Linked DNA regions of Saccharomyces cerevisiae S288C. Changing the gene in region 1 together with any one later gene gives a genetic interaction. Each region holds a gene or a part of one and is shown on either strand. Other genes may lie near its edges.

Region 1 (4,606 bases):
TATCAAAATCATCGCAGATATGTCCAATCGTTTGACACAAAGCAAATATTAGGGGAGCCTATCAAAAAAGATGATCTGGATACAAGCTGTAGTCCAATAAGAAGTAGGGAAGACAAAATAATATATCCCTGTGGGTTGATCGCTAATTCCATGTTTAATGATACATTTTCTCAGGTGTTGAGTGGTATAGATGACACAGAAGACTATAATTTAACTAACAAGCATATATCATGGAGTATTGATCGTCACAGATTTAAAACCACCAAGTATAATGCTAGCGATATTGTTCCACCGCCAAACTGGATGAAGAAGTATCCCGATGGGTATACAGATGAAAATCTTCCTGATATCCATACTTGGGAAGAGTTCCAGGTATGGATGAGGACTGCAGCCTTTCCCAAGTTTTACAAGTTGACGTTGAAAAATGAATCTGCTTCTTTACCGAAGGGTAAATATCAAATGAACATTGAGTTGAATTATCCGATTTCACTCTTTGGTGGCACAAAATCATTTGTACTGACTACAAATGGAGCTATTGGTGGTAGAAATATGTCACTAGGCGTACTGTACCTCATCGTTGCAGGGCTTTGCGCCTTATTTGGCATCATTTTTTTGGTTAAATTAATCTTCCAACCAAGAGCGATGGGTGATCACACTTATTTGAATTTTGATGATGAAGAAAACGAGGATTATGAGGATGTACACGCAGAGAATACAACATTGAGGGAAATTTTATAGAGGCCAAAAAACAAACTTTAGTGCCTGTAGGTATTTGTGTTTATAAGTAAACAAGTTTTGTTGACTTCCTGAAACGTAAACAAAAGAAAAATTGAAGTATGCCTTTTTACGCTTGGAAAATAGTGCGACAAAGAACTCCCAGGGTTTGCTATTCCCATTTAGATGATGAAATGATAGAAAAGTGGAAAACGTTTATCATGAAATCATCTATACATATACGTAAAAATGTAAACTATGTAAAAATATGTTCCCTATAAAAGTGATGCTCTTCCGGAACGTTTTCTTTTTCCCACAAATCTCGTTGAAACCTGAACCAATCTGGTAATTCAGAATCACAGGGTATCCTTATTTTGACGTTATCTTTTCCCCTTGCTTTATAATAGCCATAATCTCCATTTTCTTTTTTATTAAATGCTAATCTATACCTATGGCCAAAAATTCCTAGGTCAGAAGAGGTTTTCTTCAAATCGTCTCCTAGAACTCCACTTACTTGTAATACTTTATTATTTTTCACTTTGGTTTCGATTTGATTTATTAATGTCAAAAGCCGCTGAGGCACTTCTGGCTCTCTGCAAAGGTCATCTTCATTTACTCTAATAAGTTTGCCAGAATTGGCCTTATACTCTATCGAATGCGTCCTATTATTCTCAAGGGGCAATTTTTTTGCTTTGTTGTCCACAATTGTCTTATTATCCTTCTCCTGTTCTATCTCAATGTTAATTATTTCTAGAAATGTTTCCGCAAAATAATTTCTATTCTTACCAGAAAATAATCTGTACTCATTTATGATTGATGCAATATTCCATTTCTGAATTTTTCGAAGTATACCAATGACCAACGCGGTCTTATCTACCAATAAAACATTATAATTATCCACATTCAATAATGTTTTGAAAGTTCTTTTTAAACACGTGCTCTTAATCAGCATTAAGTCATCATTGTCAGTCAAGTGGTAAGCCAATTCCTCCTGAATTACAGGATCCCCTGTAGTAGAATTTTGTGACCCATTTGCAGTGGATTTTTTCTTTTCTTCCTGTAATGATAGAGTACTGTTATTATTCGAATATAAATTTGCGTTAGATACAGAAGAGCTTTTTACCGGAACTGCCGCAGCCGAGAAATCAGACATCCTTAAAACAATCCATTTTATGGATGATCTTGTGAAAAAATCTTTGAAAAACTTGGATGGTTCTTGACCTCCAATAAATATAGCTGTCTTTAAATTGAGAGTTTCCAGAAAGGATAAATTTAATGTCTCCACTTTAGAACATCTATATATTCCTTCTTCAGCAATCCCAAAGTTAGCAGGTGGAACCAGCATTATGAATTCAGGTTATGGATCGCACCAGTGCTGTAAGTGTCTCTCTTTTTATTCTACGATCTCCATATAACAACCACATCTCATTTCTTTACCTTACTGTCCATTTAATGCTAGAAAACTTCCGAATATTGTATTATTATTACCCGGATATGTCAAGGCGGTATATTAAGATGTTCCTTTCAAAAGTTTCATTATACCGCATACGGTAAGGACAGCCATAAGTAGTTTTACTGATAAAATATGGGGCTAAAGAACTGTATATTTATGGATAGCACTAAAAGTAAAGATTTTCCCCGTGTCCTGACTTGGAGAAACAAAATTTCATTGTCATAAAAAACTTTTAAAATATGATATTCAAAGCTTGAGCATTGGGCTTCTGGATGACAGTTCTAATCAAGTTGGGTCTAAGGATATTGCATGTATACAAAGGATTCTTTCGGAAAGTAATCCTGAAATATTTTTTTTTTTCGTCTGAACATACGAAAGTAAATAAAAAAAGTTCAATGCATGCCTTCCTATGCAAGATTTATAAAAGGTGAACAGGTCAGGAGCAGCCACATCTCAATAAAGGCAGTTAAAGACGGTGATGTAGGTGCAGAAAGAGAAAGTGAACAAAGGATGATTTGAGATGTGTAATGATTCGTTTGAGCAGCAACAACTGCTAAGATATTCATACTAATAGGCCACTTCACACATTATGCCTTGGAGAATATCCTGCATTGCTCCTTTTATAGTATAGTCTATTCAGCACTAACAAGCAAAGCGAACATAATGGTAAAACTAACTTCAACTGTTGCTGGTGTCGCCTGCATCGCTGGCCCTCCCCTCCACTACGGCCATTTTAGCACAACTTGAATGAGTCAACTTGGTTGAGTTGCATGTTAACGTCTCTGATATCAGAGCTCACTTGCTCAATAATACATGTTACAAACTGCCCACTAAATTGAACACTCTAACATTATATTGACCTGAATTATTTGAAACGAAGTCAACAGAATGATCACTGATTTTCCAATGTACTCCGCTATGTTGAAGCTAGCCATCTTAAGCGATCAATGACGGTGCTCAATCATTCTTCGAAATGGGCTAAAAATGACAGTTGAAATATATTCTTTACGTTCATTTTTTTTCATACTGCAAACCCATTCTAGAACCAATGGTAAAAGTGACGGGAGTTGCTTTCTTTTACTATTTCAATGATAGCTATAGCCTGCATACACACAAAAGAATGTAAGTGATTGCGTGAAAGCTTAAAGTCTTAAAACTGTATTTTTTTCAACTCCTCCCATATATTAAACTGGTCCTCACAGTTCGCAGGATAACTAACAATTAAAAAAATTGTTCATATGGTTGTATTTCTTTCCGTCTCACATTATTAAAATTCAACGAAGAAGTTTCTACAATAACAGACAAGGGCCTACGATTACTATGTACTGGAAGGTGAGTCTTGAATTCATCCTCAGAGATTGTTCTAAAGACCAACAGAAATCCATATAGATTACCGTAGTTACTCTGATGGAATTTCAGAGTAAGACCCTTGTCAACTTCATCACTTTAAGTTGAGATGTAGAAAGACACTTTTGTAAGGTCTCCAACAAGTATATTTGATAAATAGACTGTTGAGCTACAAAAACTCAATGTGAAGTAAAAGACCTCATAAATGATCGATTATCTGTTTGGCAGGTACTAATAAAACTGCATTGGTGTCTTTTTTCACTTACGTTAAAAAAAACTTTTTGCAATGATTTAAGCGTGCGTGAAGATAACACTACAATCCATTTTAAAGCAACATCCACATTGAGTGTATACACCACAAAGGTTTTTTCAGGGCGTTTTTCTCGCCACTTTATGTTGACCAAAATTATTAATGGAACTTACAACGTTTCCAAAAGTTAGTTAAATACATACGTCTATTTACTAAGCAAGAAATATATCATGACAAGCCCAAATATTATATTGTTATGTTTACAAAAAAAAAATGGCTATATACATCAAGTCTGGAGGCTTTTTATAACAAGCAAGTGGGGTAACTTAGACATAAGATTGACTTCTTTGAATTCAACAAAAATACATACTTTTGATGATTTCAATGGTAGAAGCAGTAGTAACTATGCCGATGAAATAAAATCCTGATATCATCTATATAGTAGTACTCACGTTACTAGTATATCATCTATAAGATGTAGGAAAATGTCATAAGAAATGAGAAACAGTCATTAAATTTAATGGAAACGAAATGCAAGGATTGGTGATGAGATAAGATAATGAAACATAGAAAACGAAAGGAGAAATAACAGTAGTATTATTATTATTATTATTATGTAGAAATATTGACTCTCTCTTGTAGATTCATATATCTTCAAGGGGAACTTCTTGTACATTTTGTATACCTATATTATAGCGTTTAACAACAATGGAATCCCAACAATTACCAAAATTTTCACACATTCCTCATATAAAATCTAAGCAATGACTAGAGAACTATCGCTAAATTATATAGAGCAAGGAAACCGAATAATTACATGTGTCAGATAAGAAAAAAATAAA
Region 2 (4,652 bases), on another chromosome or scaffold:
TTTTCCTGTCACCCACTTTTATTTTAACTGAATTATTATATTTAGCTTTACACATATAAGTCTCAACGTCTGACATATGTCACACTTTCTTTACCGCCAGACCACTTCTAATATTCCGAAAGCAAGGGCTATGAGCAGTCCGACAATTCGGAAACCATAGCTCGCCATAATTTACACGCTCTATGCACATATTAAAATACATTTAAACAGTACTTACAGCGCATCTGGGATGGTTCGGTTATGTACCAGGACAATATTAAGTTGACGCGTCAGTTGAGTAGTAATCGTCCTAGTATTTTCGCCTACCATGCCGCTTTTTGCGTTTTTGACCGCCTCTGGTCCCTTATACAATCCACAGGCAAAAAAAAATTACATAACAAGATTACTCTTCAAGAAACCTGGAAAATATTTTTTTGGGCAGTTTTTTAAGACGATAATAAGTTCTATGCCTCATTTACGCACCAGCGGTTCTATTACCAAGCTGACTCTTATCGGCGATGAGTATGATCTAAGGCTCGGGCCGCCCATTTTGCTGCTCCCGGTCAAGTAGCACGCTCCCTCTTTTCTTATCGCAGGCTTTGCCCACTACCCGATCTCTAAAGCGCCCATTTAACCTTTTTTAAAACAACAGCTTAAAAGCTTTTTGGATAAAAAGCTTTTATTACTACATCTCTGCATCTTCTCTCCGGGGTCTAAGAAAAGGGCTCAAATTCGCGGAGTTGAGAAACGAGAAAATCCAAATAAAGCGAACAAGAGGGAAAAAAATTTTTTCTTCCGTTCTTTCCTTCTTCTATACTTCAAGAAAACAAGCAAACGCACCCACTACACACAAAGTATCTTTTACGAAACATAACACAAGAATCCAATGTCAGGGAACCCAGGAAGCTCGCTGAGCGCATTGAGACCTACTCCACCCGAGAGAGGTTCGTTCCCGCTAGACCACGACGGCGAATGCACCAAGTACATGCAAGAGTATCTCAAATGTATGCAGCTTGTGCAGAACGAAAATGCAATGAATTGTAGACTACTGGCAAAGGACTACCTGCGGTGCAGGATGGACCACCAATTGATGGACTACGATGAATGGTCACATTTAGGTCTTCCTGAGGATGCTCCAGGCAACAACGGTAAAACCATAAAAGACGCCACCGATAATAAATAGCCGCCCACATCGGAATATCGAATAAAAGCTAGACGCTGTTGGTAATATCATACTTTCTACAACAACTGGTAAAGAACTTCTTTTTTTGAAATAGCCGCCGATATGGCGCGAAGTGACCCTGCTCGAGGCTGTGCGGGCCCAGGCCCGTCCGTTTCTTTTTTTTCTAGGGGGCGGCAAACGGGCCAAAGGGGTCAGCGTGATTGGGCGGTTTTCCACAAAGCTTTAGTCTCTCTCCTCACGCCTTGGCTTAGTGAGTGGCCGGAGTTAAAGTTGCGAGGAAACACACAGCGAAGGGAAAAAGCTTTGGCGTGCTTAACGATATGGCTTATGGCCCGGTTGCAATGCTGGTTTAGTTTCCGATTACGATTTTCGATTTGAATCCTGGCTCCACATCTCCCACCCTCTTTTTTTATCTCTAGCATCGTGCGTTGGATTTTATATTATGAAGTTCCTATATTAGAATAAAGTTTAGTATTTACTTCCCAGATCTACCGGATTTACAAAGTATTGTTACCTCACCACCAAGTGAAAGGAAACAGTGCAGTAACTCCTCGTGCTTACGCTAACTAAATAGATATTATATTCACGAAATACTGCGCCAGATAGCAAGCAAACCCAAAAAAAAAAAAGAAAAAGAAAAAGGAAACAAAGTGGGAGACAGAAAAAGAGTGAAAGAAACATAGTATTTACCAAGTCGAAGATTTAGCACAACAAAGACTAATCTACACGCATACTGCTCTTCTTCATTATTGCTTTATCTTCCGCGTACCTTAGTTATGTCACAGAATATTCAAATTGGCACTAGAAAACGTTCAAGAGCAAATATGAATAATTCCACTACTACGGGCCCTGCTAACAATACAAGCTCTAACAAGACCTTTTTGGATAATTTCGAAGAAACGCGCACAAACAAGCTGCTGGACGAGATGTTTGCTCGGCAAAATTCTTTTCTAACAGACAATCTGAGGAACAGTCTAGACCTGAATCAAGCAGACAATCCGCTCCGTCCTCGGCAACACCAACACCAGTTGTTCTTGGACAATGAAAATGCCATAGAACTAGACGAGGAGCCGCGTATCATTAACACCACAATCAATAACAGTAATAATCATAACAGTAGTCGAGTGGACGAGGATGCTGACGATGACATCATTTTTATCAAAGAGCAGCCAATTCAGTTTTCGTCACCTTTGATTCTGCCTAGTAGCAGCAGTATCAATAACAACAATAATATTGTTACTTCAAATAATCCAGGGTGCGGTACCGCAGCTACAAGCAATAGTACGTATATCACGACACCAAAGAAATTCAAGAAGCAAAGAACCATCTCACTGCCTCAGTTGCCTCTATCGAAGCTGAGCTACCAATCGAACTATTTTAATGTTCCTGATCAAACCAACGCTATCGTGCCAAGAGTAACGCAAACTGAAAATGAGCTGTTGCATCTAACGGGGTCGTGTGCAAAGACTCTGGAGGGCAACAAGGCAGTGAATCTCACGATTGCTCACAGCACTTCTCCCTTTTCCAACCCACCAGCACAAATAGCTTCCCTGCCTCAATCCAACCTCAAGAAACAAATTGGTTCTTCACTACGGAAATTTACATCAAACGGCTCTTCAGAAAGCGCATCATCCAATAAATCAAATTTCAAAACGGACAAAGACGGTCACTACGTTTACCAGGAAAACGACATATTTGGCAGTGGCGGCCGCTTTGTTGTGAAGGACCTATTGGGCCAAGGCACGTTTGGTAAAGTACTTAAATGCATCGATAACAAGTATGAACCTAATTACGTGGCTGTAAAAGTGATAAGGGCTGTAGATAGATATAGAGAAGCCGCCAAAACAGAACTAAGAATTCTACAGACTATCCTGAATAATGACCCTCAAGGTCAGTTCCAGTGCCTCTTGCTAAGGGAGTGCTTCGATTACAAAAATCACATTTGTTTGGTGACAGATCTATACGGCAGGTCCATTTACGATTTTATGTGCTCCAACGGCATTGCCAGGTTCCCCGGCTCTCATATTCAGGCCATTGCCAGACAGCTAATCAGATCTGTCTGCTTCTTGCACGATTTGGGCATAATACACACGGATTTGAAACCAGAAAATATCCTGATTTGTGACGAAACCCATATTGCTCAAAAATTGCCTTTGAAAACCGTACAGTCGCTAAGCAAGAGACGCCGTGAAGCCAGTAAGGGGAAGCGCAAAATCTTGAAAAATCCAGAAATCAAAATCATTGATTTCGGTAGCGCAATTTTCCATTACGAATATCATCCTCCTGTAATATCCACTCGTCACTATAGAGCCCCGGAAATTGTCCTTGGCTTGGGCTGGTCGTTCCCCTGCGACATTTGGTCCATCGCGTGTGTCCTAGTAGAACTGGTTATTGGCGAATCTCTTTACCCCATTCATGAAAATCTAGAACATATGGCTATGATGCAACGAATCAATGGAACCCCTTTCCCCACAGACATTATTGATAAGATGTTTTACAAATCTAAACATAAATTGGGCAACTCTCCATCAGACCTAAATTCAACGGTGATAAAGCATTTCGACAGAAAAACTTTAAGCTTACAATGGCCTGAAAAAAATAAACGCGGAGATACCATAACCACCGAAAAGTCAATGAAAAGGGTCTTGCAGTCATGTGATCGCTTAGATATTTACATCTCAAAGGTCTTGAAACAGGATTACGGCGATAGCTTAAGCATCAATTGGAATCTACCGCCGGAGAAAAACTGGTCTTTGATAAATTCGAAATTGGCATGGAAAAGACAAACACATTCCTCTTCTTCCTCAACTACTGATGAACTCGATAAGGAAACTTTCTTGTTTTGGTACTGGTTCATCGATCTACTCAGGAAAATGTTTGAGTTCGACCCAACAAAAAGGATTACCGCAAAGGACGCTCTGGACCATGAATGGTTTAATCTGGGCATACTGGATGATGGTATTGCAACTTATAATAATACCCAAGGATAGTGGGTGTTCTCGTTCTACTTTTCTCTTCTTTTTTTCACATCTTTTACTAGTTCCGTTTTTTTTTTTTTTAACTCTTCTTTTTCATTTTCCGGTTTTTAATAATATTTCTTTAAATTTCTATATTCAATAAAAATTCTTCCTACATATATATCTTCATATTCAAACATTTATAGTATTTTTACTAATTTTTTGTTGTTTTAATATACTATAATAATATTATTATTACTGCTACTACTATTATTATTATTATTATAATTATTATTATTATATGTCATACATAATACATTCTATTGATTGTCTTTGTCTTCCTTTTCTTTCTCCTCTAGATACTACTAACTTTACTTCAACTTCGAATTCAAATAATTTATTTCGTCCTTCAAACTTGCCTCTTCTACAGTTTTTACCAGCTCCTTTGTACATTTGGCAACATCAAACGCAATCCCTGCCAACCGCTGTTTGAAGTTTTTGTCAGCATAATCTTGATCGCTCTTTTCCTTCGC

The links.
Region 2: mutations in OCA4 (region 1) and KNS1 impair growth when combined (synthetic growth defect), as found in Saccharomyces cerevisiae (2 studies listed by BioGRID, with this or other methods).

The regions. Positions count from the first base shown.
Region 1 is NC_001135.5:287,200-291,805, forward strand, and holds OCA4 (Oca4p), read right to left. Parts: upstream 2,060-4,606; coding exon 971-2,059; downstream 1-970. Other genes in the region: aminophospholipid translocase regulatory protein CDC50, read left to right, coding at 1-738; YCR095W-A (uncharacterized protein), read left to right, coding at 2,440-2,598.
Region 2 is NC_001144.5:105,186-109,837, reverse strand, and holds KNS1 (serine/threonine protein kinase KNS1), read left to right. Parts: upstream 1-1,938; coding exon 1,939-4,152; downstream 4,153-4,652. Other genes in the region: COX19 (Cox19p), read left to right, coding at 866-1,162; SPA2 (Spa2p), read right to left, coding at 4,491-4,652. UniProt on the Saccharomyces cerevisiae protein: Nonessential protein kinase.